3 linked regions of the Schizosaccharomyces pombe genome follow. The protein of the gene in region 3 purifies or fractionates together with the protein of the main gene of each other region. This does not show direct contact. Each region holds a gene or a part of one and is shown on either strand. Other genes may lie near its edges.

Region 1 (5,295 bases), 3.3 Mb from region 3:
GATGTCAAAAGCACGTACGAGTATTGAATCATTCAATCATTAAAATTCATTCGTGAAGCGAAGCGGCATTAACCAAATGATTATATAACACCAATGTACAGAAACATACCAACCTGACACTTTCTTAACAGCAACGAAATTATAAATTGATAAAAGGGGAAATATTTTGAGGCGAAAAAGAAAGAATAAATAATGATAATTGTCGAAAACCATTGGTTTTTACAGACCATAGTCCATCAACATAAACCAACAACACACAATTACCTATGAGCCCATCTGAGTCGCAATATGACTTCAAGCTGCTTATGTTAGTCAATGAATAAAACGACCAATTAAAACTTACAGTAAATATGATTACAAACAAAGATATCAAGATAATTATTATCCAGGTAATAGAGTTCATCTTCCTATCCGCGCTGGATTTACCAAATATATCAAGCATATCAAAAATGACTTTACAGCGTCTATTGAGAACATTTGTACGGGGTCCAATTTCCAAGTATTCGCGAAATGCAGTATATAAAGGTAGAAGTAAGGGTTCAGAGTCCCATAAAAAGTCTGGAGTGTCTAATATGTTACTAATAAGGTTGACATCCACTCGTAACTGAAACAAATGACCGCTCATGCGAACAACCTCTACCCTTGAAAGACCTAAATGACCGTATAAAGCAAGCTTTTTTGGATAGAATAATGCAGAGTTCATTGTGACGTCTGTTCGTAACTCAAACCTAGAAAGTTTGACGGATTGAGCCAAAGCATGAGACATTGCCAGCTTCATTTTGTTGTCCGCTGACGGGATATGAATCATATCATTATATATCCTCGGCCTTTTTGTATTCGGCGCGTAATGAAAATGTAAATCTTCAATTTCACATTCCTCTTCTGCTAAAGGCTTAACCATTAAAGAATTATCACCACCAAAAGTTAAATCGGCAAGAATATCCTTTTCTTGACTCAAAGAAAAATTCCAAAAAACCACGACACCATAAGAGAAGACGAAAACTAAATGGCGTTAATAGGAAATTAGCTAAACAGTTAGGATTAACTTACTTTCAGATATTCGATACAATTGAGATATTATATGAGAATCAAAATTTTCGTTATCCGGTTTGTCAGAGTCCAAATGCTTTTGATTGTGATTAGACGCACTAGAGGGCATATCGTCCGGTGCTGGGCCACTAGAAACTCGGCAAGATTCAGACCTGCCATACACTAAAGGTAAATGATATACAGCGTATAGAACCTCATCATATTTCTTTGCGCGGACTTTGTGATAATGTTTTAAAAAATGTTTAACCTTAGGCAACTGGAAAGCTTCACAGACACAATATGCTGTAGCACGAGGAAATCCTAACTCTTCACGTTTGTCACGAGGTAAGTTTTCTAATTTGATTAAATTATAGGCATCGCTAGGAGTAAGCAAGTCCTCATAGTTGCTTTCTTCTTCGTTAAATGAATTGACAGCATGGTTCTCGGGTAGTAGTACAAGTTTCTGAGATGTTTTAGTAGTTCTTTGAGGAATATGAGCAGCAGCATGTCGGTTTTTTAAGAACCATCCTAATGGATGATCGATTTTCCTAGCATTCCGCCGTCTTTGAAAAAGGCCTTGAGCTGCAGATATTCGATGATCTCCAAAACGTGGTGGGCTACCATGCTGAGGCGTTATTCGTGTACTTTCTGAATTTATTGGGGGAGGAATATGCACAGGAGTTGATAATCGAGTATTAATTGTCCGTTTAGGGGGTAAATTTAGTTTATCCTTAGTAGACATCGAATGTGTACTTCGAGCGTTGGTTTACTGGTCATGCCAATATAAGTCTATGTCTCTGATACGCAGTATAATACTTTAATCAAGTATTATATGCAACTAAGTAAAATTACAATTATTTTGAAAGATAAAATGGTTGTGCTTAGTAGTGTATGAGGAAAGTAAACTTGATTAACTATGGAGCTTATTTCAAATTATCAGAGAGCAAGTGAATAAAGTAGGGTATTAATTACTAACCAATATTAAAAGAGAGACACAAATTGGTGTCTTTAGACAATAAAGATTTCTATGTAAAATATGCAGTGTCAATAATACGACTAAGCAGTTCAATTTCCTGAATTTTTACTCAGTTTTTGTTAAAAAATAAATTTCAAATGAATAAAACGAGCACATGTAGGTTGGATACTGCCATTAAAGTACGACTACAAATAAAATATTAAGCAATTTGAGAAACCTTATGTGGAACGTTAATCAAATGTTAAATAAGCAAAATTCATCTAAAAACAACAAATGGATATTATTTAGACATTAGTTTCATTTAATGTTATTACATTGTATAAATTAAACGTACTATTCTTTAACTGTCTAATCAAGCATGGATAGATGATCAAAGATATCATTACTGTATGTTTACTATGAACACTTGATCTAGGTGGATTAATTTATTTGGCGTGCCTAATTTGGAACGAAATTAATATCATCTTCAACATCCCACCGATTTACTTATACTAAATAAAAGAAGTCTTTGAACTAAATTAATAAAATTTTTTTCAATGTATTTTACAAGCACAATCGTTCCAAATATCATGTCAAAAGATACGATTGCGTATCCATACCTTTGGCCAAAGTCATACTAGCTCATTTTCCCAGCACGTAAAACGCGCCAAATATCTATATATTAGAATACCATACGAAAAACGGTAAAGTTTATACTACATTAGAAGGAACTTTAAGTTGGTTTTATTTAAATTAAAGATTGATTTTATTGCTGCTAAATAAGGAATTTCACATCTTTGGGGAATTGGTTAATTCATCATGGAAAGAGCTGAAAATGCTAGAATTATTCAAAAGCCTATGACTCGTAGGACTGTGGACTATGGATCAGGGCTATCAAAGTATATTGTCAATCGACATTTGCGTAGCAATCGCTATCACATACATGTACCGAGACCAAATCCGAATCAAATAATTAACTTGTATCCCCCTTATGAATACAAGTATAATAACACATCTTCCTTGTGCACCAAATATATTCATACGTCTGCAAATAAAGCTAGACATGTTATTAACGTTGTGCGCTGGACTCCAGATGGTCGAAGACTGTTGACAGGTTCTTCAACTGGTGAATTTACTCTGTGGAATGGTCTCACATTTAATTTTGAGTTAATTAATCAGAGTCATGATTATGCCGTTCGTTGTGCTGAATGGAGTACAGATGGGCGCTGGCTTATTTCCGGCGATGGAGGAGGCATGGTAAAGTATTTTGAACCGAATTTAAACAATGTCAAAATTGTTCAAGCTCATGAAATGGAAGTTAGAGATGTTGCCTTTTCACCCAATGATAGCAAATTTGTCACAGCGAGTGATGATGGTTCATTAAAAGTATGGAATTTCCATATGAGTACTGAAGAGCTGAAACTAACTGGTCATGGATGGGATGTAAAAACCGTCGATTGGCATCCTTCAAAAGGTCTCTTGGCTTCTGGTTCTAAAGACAATTTAGTGAAATTTTGGGATCCAAGAACCGGTACATGTATTGCGACTTTGCATGGTCATAAAAACACAATAATGCAAGCATCTTTTCAGAAAAATTTTGGATCAAATTATTTGGCTACAGTCTCTAGGGATAGCACTTGTCGAGTATTTGACTTACGTGCCATGAAGGACGTTCGAGTTTTACGTGGTCATGAAAAGGACGTAAACTGCGTAACATGGCATCCTCTTTATCCTAATTTGCTTACTACTGGTGGCTCCGATGGAAGTGTCAATCATTATTCACTTGATGAACCTCCATTACTTTCTCAGCAAAAGTATCATGAAAAGCATCCAAATGTTACTCTTTCCGCGTCTTCTTATTTACTATACCCTACTGCTGAAATTCCATTTGCTCATGATTTGGGTATTTGGAGTATGCAATATCATCCTCTTGGACATCTTTTATGTACAGGTTCAAATGATAAAACTACACGTTTTTGGTCAAGATCTCGCCCAGATGACAAGGAATCCACCATGGATCGCCATCATTTAGGTGAAGAACAGTCTGAGGCCATGCTAAGTCAGAGAAAAGCAGCGATCGAAGAAGACGATAATTATGAACCTGACGAAAACCCTCTCACCGAAACATTAGCAAATGCCCATAATCCCCAATTTTCTGGAGTACTTAATCTTCCGGGTTTAGGGACTATGCCCTCCTTTCCATCGCCTTATCAACATGGACAACCTCAAATTCCCGGTATGCTTCATGCATCTTTGAGCAATTCATACGCTGAGCCGTCAACTCAAAACTCTTTTATCCCAGGTCTCACCTCAAAGTCACAAGATGGGTATCCTCAAAACTATCGATAATACATTTCTTTGTTATTTGAAAAACATATTTACTTGGCATTAATTAGATTTAAAAAAAAAAAAATTCACACCGCAGCTCACTGGATTCATACTAAAAATTGGGTTTGGCAAAGCAAAACCTACACTAATTTTTTTTTTAATGATAACTAAGCAACAATTTACATTATACCATTCATACTCGACAAGCACTTCTATATCTCGCTCTCCATACAAGATGTTCCCCAAATTGAATTACCGAGTGTCAACGATTTTCGTAAATAAATCGTTAATAGTTAGGTATGCTACATTTAGTAAGTTGTTCACCACCAAATTTTCAAAGATCTTATGTGATTAATAATTGTGGTTCAATTAGTCATATATTGATTTTTATAAGAATTCTACAAGATAGGTATAGAAAACCATTCTATCCATGTCTTAGAGATGGGTAAAAAAAGCGTGTCATTTAACCGCAATAATTATAAAAAGCGTAAAAATGAGAGAACTGAACCACTTCCAAGGAGGATTTTTAAAAACGATAAACCGAGTAAATTTAAATCTAAAAGAAAGGAAAAGGATAAAAATTCAGACGCTTATGACGAAATGCTTCTGAATAACAATTTTACGCTTCTGGATCAAGAAGAACCCATGGTTGAAATTGGAAGTAAAAAATCACGTAATGATAATGATTCAGAAGGAATACGTGATAAAGGTGGAGTAGAAATTTCAAACAAAAACGATCCATATATTCAATTTGGAAAAGCCGATCCATTAGAGCCGCTGGAAAAACCTGATTTACCAGAGGAAGCAATAAAACGTGGTGAACCTACCATTCTTTTAGGTATACCAAAAAGAGAAGGTAGAAAAACTAACCCTGTACACGACAAGGCTGTCGAAAATAATTCTGATTTTATCAAGTTCGATTGGAACAGCGATGAAGACGAGGATAGTGTTAGTAATGATAAAAGCAAGAATAATGAGTCCTT
Region 2 (5,302 bases), 2.9 Mb from region 3:
TCCTTATGATCTTTTTACCTTTATTACCAAAGGTCATTGCTCTGCTTTAAAAGCTGATCAAATGTTTTTTCAATTGTTAGATGGCGTGGCTTATATGCATTCCCTTGGCATTGCTCATCGTGATATAAAATTAGATAATATTATGCTCGATGAAAATTTAAATGTTAAGATTATTGATTTTGGTACTGCTTTTGTTTTTCATTATCCATTTGAATCAACCACTCTGATGTCTGATGGTGTAGTCGGTTCAAAACCATATGTTGCTCCCGAAGTTCTTACTCAGAAACCATATGATCCGAGCGCTGTAGATGTTTGGTCTTGTGCAATTGTTTACTGTTGTATTGCTTTAAAGAGATTTCCATGGAAAGTGCCGCATACATCGGATAAACGTTTTAATTTATACGTTACTCAACGAAATGACCCTAACACGAAAAGCCAATTGATAGAATCTTTACCGATGAACTCAAGAGATACGATTTATCATATGCTGGACATTGATTTTAATACAAGATGTAGCATTTCGGGAGCACGAAGCACTACATGGATGCAACAAGTTCGGAAAACTCTAATCTAAGGAGAATTTGTCTACTTTAGAGATTTTTATCTATTTATTTTTTTTATGATGTTAAGGATTATGAAGTCCCTTTAATGATCGCTATTAACTTATAAAGGGCAAGGACGTTGAAGTGTTCACTTGTAGACGCTTTACTTCATCGTGAACTTGAGCAAATCTATTACTAAGAGCCATGAATAATTTGTGCTCCTCTTTGATAGTTTTCAGTAATGCTAGATAGTTAATACAAGTTTTACAAATTAAAGGCATACCCTCGGGACTATTATTCTGTGGCGTAGTCTCAACTTGCTCCAAATGTTGTTCAAGTTCACCAATAGTGGCAGCATACAGATCTGTACGTTTCTTAGCGTTTTCTGTAAATTGCTCAAAGTAGTTCATTAGGGGATCGTTTGACGCGAAGGGATAGGTTGCGCCAGGTGTTTTAAAAACGTCCAAAATACGTGAACTAATGCGAGCATTCGAAGTATCTTCGTCAACTACACGCTTCGTAGTTTCAATTTCGTCGGAATCAATTAAAAGTGCAGTCGAGACAGAAGATAAACGCTTTATTTTAGTTAGAAACAAATAAAACTTGGAGATAATAGAAGGAAATAACTCACTCTCTGTACTTCAGCGACATCATTAGGGACGGATTCAACCAATTCGGAAACAGTCCCCAACTTAGTTTGTAGTTCCTCTGCAAGTTGGATTTGGCTAAAAATTTCTTTGCTACGGACATGATTAGAACAAATTTTGTACATAAGGTAACACATACTCTAAGTCATCTAAAAATTTTTGAGTATTAGCGTTTAAGCTCGAGTATCTCGTCGTTGCATTAATAGCTGGATTAGAAGGGAGTTGCCTGTTTTTTTGTTAATGAAAAAAAAATTTAATAATTAACTTACGTTGTTGACGGTTGCTGCTGAGCTGCAGAAAAGAATGGAGTAGTTTGAGTATTATTGCTTAAACCAAAACCAGTTGAACCAGACGGTTGTGTGGATTGACCAAAAAGGCCAGCGGAAGCTGGTTGTGTAGAAAATTGACCAAAAGTCGAAGTATTAGGGCGGTTTTGATCAAATAGACCTCCTGTAGTTCCGATGTTAGACTGTCCGAAAAGAGAAGTATTTGCTTGAGCAGGCTGTGTTTGCGATTGTGTTTGATTTTGACCAGATAATCCAAATAATCCTCCAGTAGGGGCTGCTTGAGCAGGTTGTGCTTGTGTTTGATTCTGATTGAACAAACCACCAGGTGCTTGAGGTTTAGTAGTGGAAGCTCCAAACAGGCTGCCACCAGGTGCCGCTTGAGGGTTTTGTCCAAACAAATTTAGGCCGGGGGTAGTAGATGTAGCGTTTGGCTTATTTCCAAACAAGCTTCCACCAGTTTGAGGTTTTGTTTGACCAAAAGCTCCTCCTGTTACGCCTCCAAACCCAGTCGAAGCGGGCGTATTGGCCTGCGTATTGTTACCAAAAGTATTAGAAGAAAAAAGTCCTGTGCCTGCAGAAGTACCAGTATCTGAAAAGGTTAATATATGAATAAGCACAAAATTCGAAAAGTAAACTTGAAGACTTGTTCACCTAAAGAAACATACTTTGGTTTTGGGTTCCTGTGGACCCAAATGAGGGTGTTTTATTTAACCCGAACATTGCTTAAAGTATTAATACACGAATGTCCCTAGTGTAAATACCATGCAAAGATTATCATGAAAAACCACTCAGGTTATCTTTTCTAAAAAGGGTAATTGTAGAATCACAATCAATGATTAATATTATAATTAAGCAAAGATGGAAAAGATTAGTTATCTAAAGTTTCAAATTGAACTAGCTTTCAGGGTATCGTATAGTCAAATACTGCTGTGTTCGCAGAGCAAATTCAATTGTTAGTGTTAACTACAATGTGGCTCACTAAGTTGGCTTTCACGAGTGTTGGTCTGTTTCAACCCGTTTTAGCGCAAAATATTTTTACCCAGGTAAATGAAGTACGCTATGAAGTCCACTAGTATATACCGTACAACTCGGTACAATGTTTAGTGGACTAATGGCCCTAAGTGGTAAAGAAGAAGGAATCCATAATTTCAGGTGCGAGACTCAGTCAATGAATGGACTTGCCCCATATACATTTTAGAAGTGGGTTTTTACTATGTCAAATGCTGATCAGCACATGGATGTTGATGAGGATGAATATTTATATGGAGAAACCATAGAGGAACGGAATGATGGAGTTACAGTGTCAAATGCCAAGTCACCAGAGCAAGCAAGTGAAGAAAGCGATGATTCAGTAAGATTTCAATTAAAATGATACTGCTAACTGCTAATTTTGTAGGATATTGAATTTATCATTGAAACAAAGCCAGGTGAAAGAGCAGAACCATTAGGGTATGTAAACCAAAATAATTGATTTCAGATTATACTAATAATGTTAGTGGATCGATTGCAACATTAGGTTCAACCCGACCTTCTGCTAAACCTCAAGTAGAGAAAACTGCTGTCGAAGTAAAAACTACAGAACCCCAAGATTTATCGACAGCAGAAACTGCACCTAAAGTTGACATTGACGCTGTTCCTACAATTGATGGTAAAAACATTTTTGAGATTGATTTGGAGTCTTTTGATGATAAACCATGGCGCAAGCCTGGTGCAGATATCTCAGATTATTTTAACTATGGATTTGATGAATTTACATGGGCTGCTTACTGTGCCAAACAAACGACTTTGCGTGACGACTTTAGCCCCCAAAAATTTATGGCAAGTCTTGCTCAGATCCCGGGTCCTTTACCTTCTGGCAACGTACCATCACCTGCCGAGTTTCAAGCTATGATGGCTTCTGGATTTCCTCCATTTATGCCTATTCCTCCGCCTATTGGAGGCCCACAAGAGGATATGGGGTACTCGCGCAATTTTCCAGTCCATGCATCTTCAAACTATAATACTACACATACATCTGGTGGTGGTGTTCATTCAGGTGCAGCTACACCTAATGCGTATGTAAATAACAATCCTTCATCTTCTAGACGTGAAAGTGAAAGTCCAGCGAATTCCCCTAATATTACATCGAGTGCTGGTATGACGCATGCACAACCTACTCATAATCCTACATCGAGTTATGGGAATGGAGCCTCTACGAACTATAATGCCTCAAGACCTCCTAGTAACCATCCTCACAGTAGCAACTATCCTTCCTCATCAAGGCGAAAACCATCTCCGGACAGATACTCCAACTACTCCTCTAGAGGTTCTGGCGGCCGATATCGACGCAACAGATATTAAGATAAATACAATAACGTTTGTGTATGCAAATCTTAGGAGAATCGTTTTAATTGTATGCTATGGGGTGTCGACTACTTCTACAAGGACAACGGTTTCAAAAGTTAAAAGCTGGTGAATGAAATAATATTCATAAGATCATAAACATGTATACTCATCATTACTATGGAATTCTGTATTAACAACATAAAATCAAAACTGAAGATACTTCAGACACATCAAAGCAATGACGGGTAATCAACTGGGCAGCAATTAAGCTTGGGTTTCATCATCAATTTCTTCAAGGGCTCTTTGGGCGCGGGTTTTGGCTTGCTTGGATACATTAGGATTATGCATAGTAGCTTTATAACCTCCTCGGACATTTTCAATGTTCTTGCCCTCAAGTTGATCTTCTTCGACCAAATCACCTGTTTTCATAGGATCATCAACAAAACCCGACTCATCTCCCAACACATTTAGACCCTCCTCGTTGTCAAAGTCTGCATCCTCATCATAATCACCGAGATCCTCATAATCAAGATCACGGCCTCCAGCTTGAGCGGAATAATCACCAGTCTCTTGGCCGGAAGAATGACTTTCTATATAGTCTTCGGCTCTTTCTTTGGCTTGTTGTGATACATTGGGATTGTGTAGGGTGGCTTTCTTGCCAGCGAGAACACGATTAGGATCAGGCATTGTTTATAAATAAAATTGGAGTTCTTTCTGATTTAATAAAACGGCTTACAAAAAGTACTACGGTGCGAAATATTACTTCTTGAAAATTCGAATCGATAGTGATGTACCCCGTGCTCTATATATAATATTTGTAAGAGTCCTCGGAAATTGTGACATCAATTTATTTTCCATCCCATTCAGCATTTCGTAATGAGAATTGCAATCGTATTTTTGCTTTTGGGTTAATTCAGCGACAAATTAGCCCATTTGATTTTACGTAGACTATTTCGCTCAACAGATGATGCGGTACATCCGCTTTTCACTCGTTAATTGAAAGTAATTGAAACTAGCAGCTCTATCGATGCCATCATGTGGCGATGTGTAAAGTCTATATTTCATTCTCACGTAAAGTAGCATAATCCTTTGACATTCGCTATGTGGCAGACGGGTATCACGACTAAGCGGATGACAAACGGTGTCGGGCATAAAATATGGGATATCATCCCGAGCTAGTTGAAGCCAAAATCATGTAAGTATTAAAATTGGAATTTGTTGCTTCAATTGATGTCTGAAATTCTTTACCTCTCTATCACAACACATGTAAGGAGCGGTATAGATATGCGAAGCAATCCGCTATAAGTGGTTGCAATGAAGCAAAAGCAATAAAATAATCAACTGAATGAACCATTTTCATCTGAATAAACAATAATAAAAGGAACCCTTTCAAATCGAGTGTATGGTAAGATGTTAATTAGATGGAATAAGCAGCCTCGACACATTTAATCGGCGAGAAGAAAACTAGTTTAGCAGTTTACAGTTATATATGAAATTACTA
Region 3 (6,672 bases):
CCATCCTTCTTGAGGCTGTACTAAAACATGGCGTTTCCTCCGCAGGTTATCATGTCGAGCGTTGACCGAACGTTTCTCAACGATGCGGCCAAAAATCTTACGTATTTCAAGATCAGGATTTAACATACTAATATTTACACCCAATAACTTATTCAATTTTTCATCAAGTTCTTTATCTAACGGGATAGTAGCAGATTCTTCGACACCAGCAACATGCTCAACCTGATCTTGCTCACGATATTTAAGTTTTAATTCAGCAGCAGCCTTTTCTATTTCATCAATATCATCATCAATGTTTTTGCTTGATTCAAGTCCCTCCAATTTCTCATTATCAGAAGATTGATTATCTAAATCACGCTTTCCAGTGACTTTCTTCTTCTTCTGCTGCTTTTTCTTTTTCTTTTTATTTTTTGCTTTCTTATTTGTAGAGACAATTGGAGACTCGCCTTCTACTAATGGTTCATCCTGCTCTTCCTCAGAAACACTTTTTTCTGCCTCTGAGTTAATAGCATTATTTTCTTTTTCGAGAATTTCGAACACGTTTACTACTTTTTTCCCGGAAGTTGAAGAAAACTCGTCATCCTCATCAGATTCACTGTCTAAAGCTTCTTCCAATAGCTCGGTTTGTCTTTGACGCTGAAGTTTCCGTAAAGCTCGTGAAGACATGAGAATGGTTTGTGGTAGACTAGAATGGCAGATGTAAGAATTTAACTCAGACCTATGAAAACACACCTCAATTTCAAGAACTTTTCGGTATGCTAAATTAATATATAACATACAGAAAATATTTCATTTTAAGACTGTTAGCAGTGAAGAATATTACGTTTCGTAGTTAAAAGGCGTTAAGGAAAATACAAGCCGGGAGCAACAATGATGTACAGAATATGTAATTAAAATCTAAGTAATAGAATTTTGCAATTGTGGGGTGGTAAACCGTTTTTACATATTTGTGGTTCATGGTTTATTGGAATTTTTGCTGATCGCAATAGGTTATCAGCCAAATGAAAATTAGAGGGGTTATTAATACAAAAAACTGTTAATGCAAATTTAGTATTAAAGTGAGAATAACGACCGTGTTACCTTTTTGTATGCCTATATTACCAGAATATATTATAAAGTAGTAAATAAATCAAATTAGTATTACCAGAGAAAGGAAAACATATTACTTTTTTAACATACGCCAATAATTCTTTTCTTCTTCTCCGGTAATTAGCTCAGCAATCAGGAATGGACGGCTAGATCCCTTTTTCCTATGTGCCCGAATATCATCATGACTGTTTTGTTTCCTTTCTTGTGTACGAAACGCGTTGATACACGTCTCAGCATGAAGCGGTGTTTTCCAACGTATTATCGCCTCTGTTTCGTCCTTCCTATAGTCTATATACATGGGCTCACATGCAATATTCTGAGTTTGCCGCGAAAAAACATAACTCAAGAGGCTGTGAATAGTAGATTTATTAGTTAAAGGATGGAGGTTCTTGATACGGGTCAAAAGATTCTTGGTAAAATCCAAATTATCTTCATCTTTATCAGTTTGTGAGGTTTTGGATACAGACTTGGTCATTTGTTTTTCTACTTTAGTAAGTTTGGGATAACGATTTTCAGGAAAGGAATTGGATGAATTTGAAACGTCTGAAGATGACGCTTTTACTAAATGGAGTTGATTTTCAAAATATTTTTCTTCACGATTTGTCCATTCTTTACGAGTCAACAGTACCCATCCAGGAGGGACAGGCAACTTGCTAAGTGCTGATTGATCAACCTTTTTGTACAAAATTACAAAAGCATAACCTTCAGGAGTACCGATAGCATCAACATAGGGAAGGAACTCTTTGAGGTATTTGCGAAGTTTCCCAGCCAAAAGTAAACTTTTATTAGACAGAGTAGCCGGAACTGGTTCAACGTAAATAATTCTATCATACAGTGGTATGTCAAGAGGAAGAACAATATTCTCATTTCTAATAACCATGTGTGAGGAATTATCGAAATGAAACAGCGCATTAGTAACATAAGATAAAGCATACTTCAAGTTATTTTGCGTTGGATTCGGGCGGATTCCTTTCCAGAAATCATCTTGCTGGATTAAAAAGGCCAAGTGCACTTTTTCTTTTTGCCTTTCTCGGTGAAAATAAATTTCTAATATAGAATCAACGGCTGATAAAAAGTCAGGATTTAACGGTTCAATAAGCTGTCTATCTTGTTGATTTAACATGAGTCCTCCGCTTATGGAATGACTTGGTTCTTTGCTGGCTTCATTATGTTTGTAATGCTCATCTTTCAATTTGTTGTTATTTCCATCTGCAATAGAATTATTTTCCTTCCCTGTAAATGCTTTAATTTTGCGAACATTCAGTTGCCTTGGCACAAACATTTTACTTCGCTCCTTAAAGTACGGTTTTCTAGTATCAATTAAAGTGAAGTCATTAATAATAAATAGAATTAGGTGCTCTTAATTAAAAAAAAAAGGGTTGTAAATTTTTGTTCTGCTTTCTCCCAATTTATGTTGAATGCGTAGGTGAAGAATAACTCGCGCTTGCCCAGCACCCACGACCTTGTCTTTCCAATTGTGGTTTTTAGACAAAAGCCCTTGGAAAGATGTCCAAAAGAAAGGAATTTGATGAAGATGCACCTGTAGACCCATCCGTAAGCCTTGAATTTACGATTTTTTATAAGGGCCTACTTTCTAACCAATGTCAGGATTTACTGGAGTTTATTAACTTGGGAGCCGGAAATGAAGTTGGTCGCAGTTGCCATGTTATTCAATACAAAGGGAAAACAGTAATGGTATTTTAATTTTTATTTTGTTATGATTGTGAATGCTAATTTTTGCTAGCTCGATGCCGGTGTTCACCCTGCGTATACTGGGCTTTCAGCTCTTCCTTTTTTTGATGAGTTTGATTTGAGCACTGTAGATGTACTTTTAATTAGCCAGTAAGTCCCTTTTGTACCACTACTTGAGACGACCATAGGTTATTAGATTAGAGTACTTCTTGTACCAATTACTATTATGGTCCCTTAGGCATTGATTCATTTTTTTTTGAAAAGTATTTCTAACTTAAGCAAGCTTCCATTTGGATCATGTAGCCTCGCTTCCCTATGTTATGCAAAAGACGAACTTTAGAGGTCGTGTCTTCATGACTCATCCTACAAAGGCAGTTTGCAAGTGGCTTTTATCTGACTACGTGAAAGTGAGGTATGTATTCTTAGCTCTGAGTATTCATTAACAACTCGCAGTAATGTAGGCATGGAAGATCAGCTTTACGATGAGAAAGATTTGTTAGCCGCTTTTGATAGAATCGAGGCTGTTGACTACCATTCAACTATAGAAGTTGAGGGTATAAAGTTTACACCCTATCATGCGGGCCATGTTTTGGGTGCCTGTATGTATTTTGTGGAAATGGCTGGAGTCAATATTTTATTTACAGGCGACTACTCACGAGAAGAAGATCGCCATTTGCATGTCGCTGAGGTTCCTCCTAAAAGACCAGATGTGCTGATCACAGAATCCACGTATGGTACAGCATCTCACCAACCAAGACTGGAGAAGGAGGCTAGACTGTTAAATATTATTCATTCCACTATTCGCAATGGAGGGAGAGTTTTGATGCCTGTCTTTGCTCTTGGAAGAGCTCAGGAGTTATTACTCATTCTCGATGAATATTGGAATAATCATCTCGATCTTCGCTCAGTCCCTATCTATTATGCATCATCGCTAGCGAGAAAGTGTATGGCCATTTTTCAAACTTATGTTAACATGATGAATGATAATATTCGAAAAATTTTTGCCGAACGAAATCCGTTCATCTTTCGTTTTGTCAAAAGTCTAAGAAATTTAGAAAAATTCGATGATATTGGCCCTTCTGTAATATTGGCAAGTCCTGGTATGCTACAAAATGGTGTTTCAAGAACCCTCTTAGAAAGATGGGCTCCTGACCCTCGAAATACGTTACTTCTTACTGGTTATTCTGTTGAAGGGACAATGGCAAAGCAAATTACAAATGAGCCTATTGAAATTGTGTCACTTTCAGGCCAAAAGATTCCTAGAAGAATGGCAGTGGAGGAACTTTCTTTTGCGGCTCATGTTGATTATCTTCAAAACAGTGAATTCATTGACCTGGTAAATGCCGATCACATTGTATGTTTAGTTACTAATGTAACGTTAAAATTAACTAATTATAGATTTTGGTGCATGGTGAGCAAACAAATATGGGTCGATTAAAAAGTGCTCTAGCCAGCAAATTTCACAATAGAAAAGTCGATGTCAAAGTATATACCCCTCGAAATTGCGTACCGTTATATCTTCCTTTCAAAGGGGAACGGTTAGTGAGAGCTTTGGGAAAGGTCGCTGTTCATAAACCAAAAGAAGGCGACATTATGAGTGGAATTTTAATTCAAAAGGATGCCAATTATAAATTGATGTCAGCTGAAGATCTTCGAGATTTCAGTGACCTTACTACCACCGTTTTAACCCAAAAACAAGTCATTCCATTTTTTTCGAGTATGGAGCTTGCAAATTTCCATTTAAAACAAATGTTTGGATATGTCAAACAGTCAAAAACAAAGGCAGGACAACCTCAATATACAGTAATGGACGCCATTACTTTGACTTTAATCCAAGAACATAAGCTTGCTCTTGAATGGGTTGGCAACATTATGAATGATACAATAGCTGATTCAGTAATTACTATTCTACTAGGCATTGAAAGCAGTCCTGCTTCTGTCAAGTGTAAGTCTGCGTTTAATGTGGAACAATTTCTAACCATTAATAGTGACGAGCCATAAATGTAACCATTTGCATTCGCATTTAGATAAGCCTCCAAAAGTATCAAAGGAGGAAGATCGTATTAAAAAGCTGATGATGTTTTTGGACAACCAATTTGGCGAAAGTATGACTAAAACGGAAAAGGGGGTTGAAATCAAATTTGAAAAATATGAAGCGTCTATTGATTTTTCGACTATGAAAGTTGAATGTTCAAATGAAGCGTTACGATCTAGAGTCGTACATGTTTTATCCCGTGCGATCAATACTATCCTTCCATTTTCTGAAGCTTCACAAAACGACGTCTCCGAAGATGATTTTGAAAATGAAGAATCTGACGATGATAAAATCTTTGAGCAGCAAACGAAAATAGAAGATGATGTTAAAAATGAAAATAAGACAGAACCAGTTGAAGAACAGAAAAGCGAAGAAAAGAATGAACAGCCCAACCTTAAGAAAGAAGAACTTTCTTGAAAATTATTTACGAACGAATCTTTGCCTTTCATAGCCATGACACTTTTATGGCTACCTTCATTTTTTGCTATTTAAGTCTCAGTAGTTATCATGCACTCTGGTATTTCTGTTAAAAAATGCTGTTTCTTAGTCATGCGTGATCGAATCTTTAATTTATTCTTGCCATTTACGTCAAAGACAAACAATTTAATAGCCATTCCAAAAAAATTGACTAGTACTTAAAAAAATGCTATAACTATTTAGATTTTTGTAAGGAAAACTTTTTTTGTAGCTATTATGAACTCCAAAGACACTACCAATCGGGTTAATTAAGCAAATTTTTGTACCGACTACCAACACCAACACCACAATGTCCAGCAATAAGCTGCCCACCTCTAAGTATGACTTGTCCACCTATTGGGGACGTGTTCGTGTATGTTATATTACTCTTTGTATTTATGCTAATGCGGCAGCACGCTATGGATATTACTGATCCAAGGTAATTATAATTTAACTACATGATCGTTTGAGCACCTAACATCTGTAGGACACTTCTCTCTACATCTCAAGATTTAAATAGCGCCGTCAAAACTCTGGAAGACTATGGAGCGGGTAAAATTGCACAATTAGATGAAACGGTTTGGCATGCAAAGAAAAGTATGTAGTTATACGATACAAATCCGATCAAATGTTATATTATTTGATTAGTTATTTTTTTTGTTATTAAATATATTTTCAAATTAAAAAAAAAAACATATTAACGATTTTAGTTGTTGATTCAACTTTGCATCCCGATACTAAGGAACCTGTTTTCTTACCATTCCGAATGTCATGCTTTGTCTTGGTAAGATAATACTATTTAGTGACTAAATGCTAATCATTAGACTAATTTGGTCGTCACAGCAGGTATGCTGCAACCAAACCTTGGTACCGCTGGAACCGTTTTTTGGCAGTGGATGAATCAATCTGTAAATGTAGCTTTTAATTCTGCAAATGCAAATAAATCTACGCAATTGACTCTTCCGCAGATGACTAAATCCTATATTTATGCTGTTAGTGCAAGTTGTGGTGTTGCTATTGGTCTCAACAAAATTGTGCCTCGTATGAACTTTCTTTCTTCTTCGTCCAAAGCGGTACTCGGAAGATTGACCCCTTTTGCTGCTGTTGCTTCAGCTGGTGTTTTAAATGTCTTTTTGATGCGCGGCGAAGAACTTCGTCAGGTATGAGTTTTAGCCTAAGTTTATTTATTCTGGGTACAAACCTATGTATTGAAGTTTCATACATTGGTTTTGTGTTTTTTCATTCTTTACTAATGTTTGTATAGGGTATCGACGTTTTCGATAAAGAGGGAGAATCTTTAGGAAAAAGCAAAAAGGCGGCGTTTTATGCTGTTGGAGAGACTGCTCTTTCCCGTGTAATCAACGCTTCACCAATTATGGTTATCCCTCCTTTAGTCTTAA

The links.
Region 1: the proteins of ysh1 (region 3) and pfs2 purify together in Schizosaccharomyces pombe (affinity purification with mass spectrometry, with the first as the bait; one study listed by BioGRID). This does not show direct contact.
Region 2: the proteins of ysh1 (region 3) and iss1 purify together in Schizosaccharomyces pombe (affinity purification with mass spectrometry, with the first as the bait; one study listed by BioGRID). This does not show direct contact.

Annotation. Positions count from the first base shown.
Region 1 is NC_003424.3:317,171-322,465, forward strand, and holds pfs2 (mRNA cleavage and polyadenylation specificity factor complex, WD repeat protein Pfs2), read left to right. Parts: upstream 1-2,636; 5' UTR 2,637-2,803; coding exon 2,804-4,333; 3' UTR 4,334-4,655; downstream 4,656-5,295. Other genes in the region: SPOM_SPAC12G12.16C (XP-G family Fen1-like nuclease), read left to right, coding at 1-27; sif3 (Sad1-interacting factor 3), read right to left, coding at 261-299, 344-1,002, 1,051-1,771; TRAMP complex poly(A) polymerase subunit Cid14, read left to right, coding at 4,754-5,295. UniProt on the Schizosaccharomyces pombe protein: Required for 3'-end cleavage and polyadenylation of pre-mRNAs. Also involved in chromosome segregation where it has a role in chromosome attachment to the mitotic spindle.
Region 2 is NC_003424.3:751,015-756,316, forward strand, and holds iss1 (fip1-like pre-mRNA polyadenylation factor), read left to right. Parts: upstream 1-2,656; 5' UTR 2,657-2,689; coding exon 2,690-2,827; exon of another isoform or gene 2,828-2,872; coding exon 2,873-2,925; exon of another isoform or gene 2,926-2,972; coding exon 2,973-3,816; 3' UTR 3,817-4,065; coding exon of another isoform or gene 4,066-4,488; 3' UTR 4,489-4,662; downstream 4,663-5,302. Other genes in the region: serine/threonine protein kinase Ppk8, read left to right, coding at 1-574; nucleoporin Nup45, read right to left, coding at 659-786, 826-1,117, 1,174-1,282, 1,329-1,415, 1,459-2,065, 2,142-2,196; protein cum1, read right to left, coding at 4,066-4,488.
Region 3 is NC_003424.3:3,619,568-3,626,239, reverse strand, and holds ysh1 (cleavage and polyadenylation specificity factor complex endoribonuclease subunit Ysh1), read left to right. Parts: upstream 1-2,529; 5' UTR 2,530-2,595; coding exon 2,596-2,643; intron 2,644-2,697; coding exon 2,698-2,784; intron 2,785-2,830; exon of another isoform or gene 2,831-2,833; coding exon 2,834-2,931; exon of another isoform or gene 2,932-3,064; coding exon 3,065-3,193; exon of another isoform or gene 3,194-3,234; coding exon 3,235-4,135; exon of another isoform or gene 4,136-4,179; coding exon 4,180-4,726; exon of another isoform or gene 4,727-4,769; coding exon 4,770-5,233; 3' UTR 5,234-5,479; downstream 5,480-6,672. Other genes in the region: protein Rqc1, read right to left, coding at 1-666; pof8 (LARP7 family RNA-binding protein Pof8/Lar7), read right to left, coding at 1,163-2,371; sideroflexin Fsf1, read left to right, coding at 5,583-5,645, 5,686-5,711, 5,760-5,869, 5,983-6,056, 6,097-6,432, 6,537-6,672. UniProt on the Schizosaccharomyces pombe protein: Component of the cleavage factor I (CF I) involved in pre-mRNA 3'-end processing.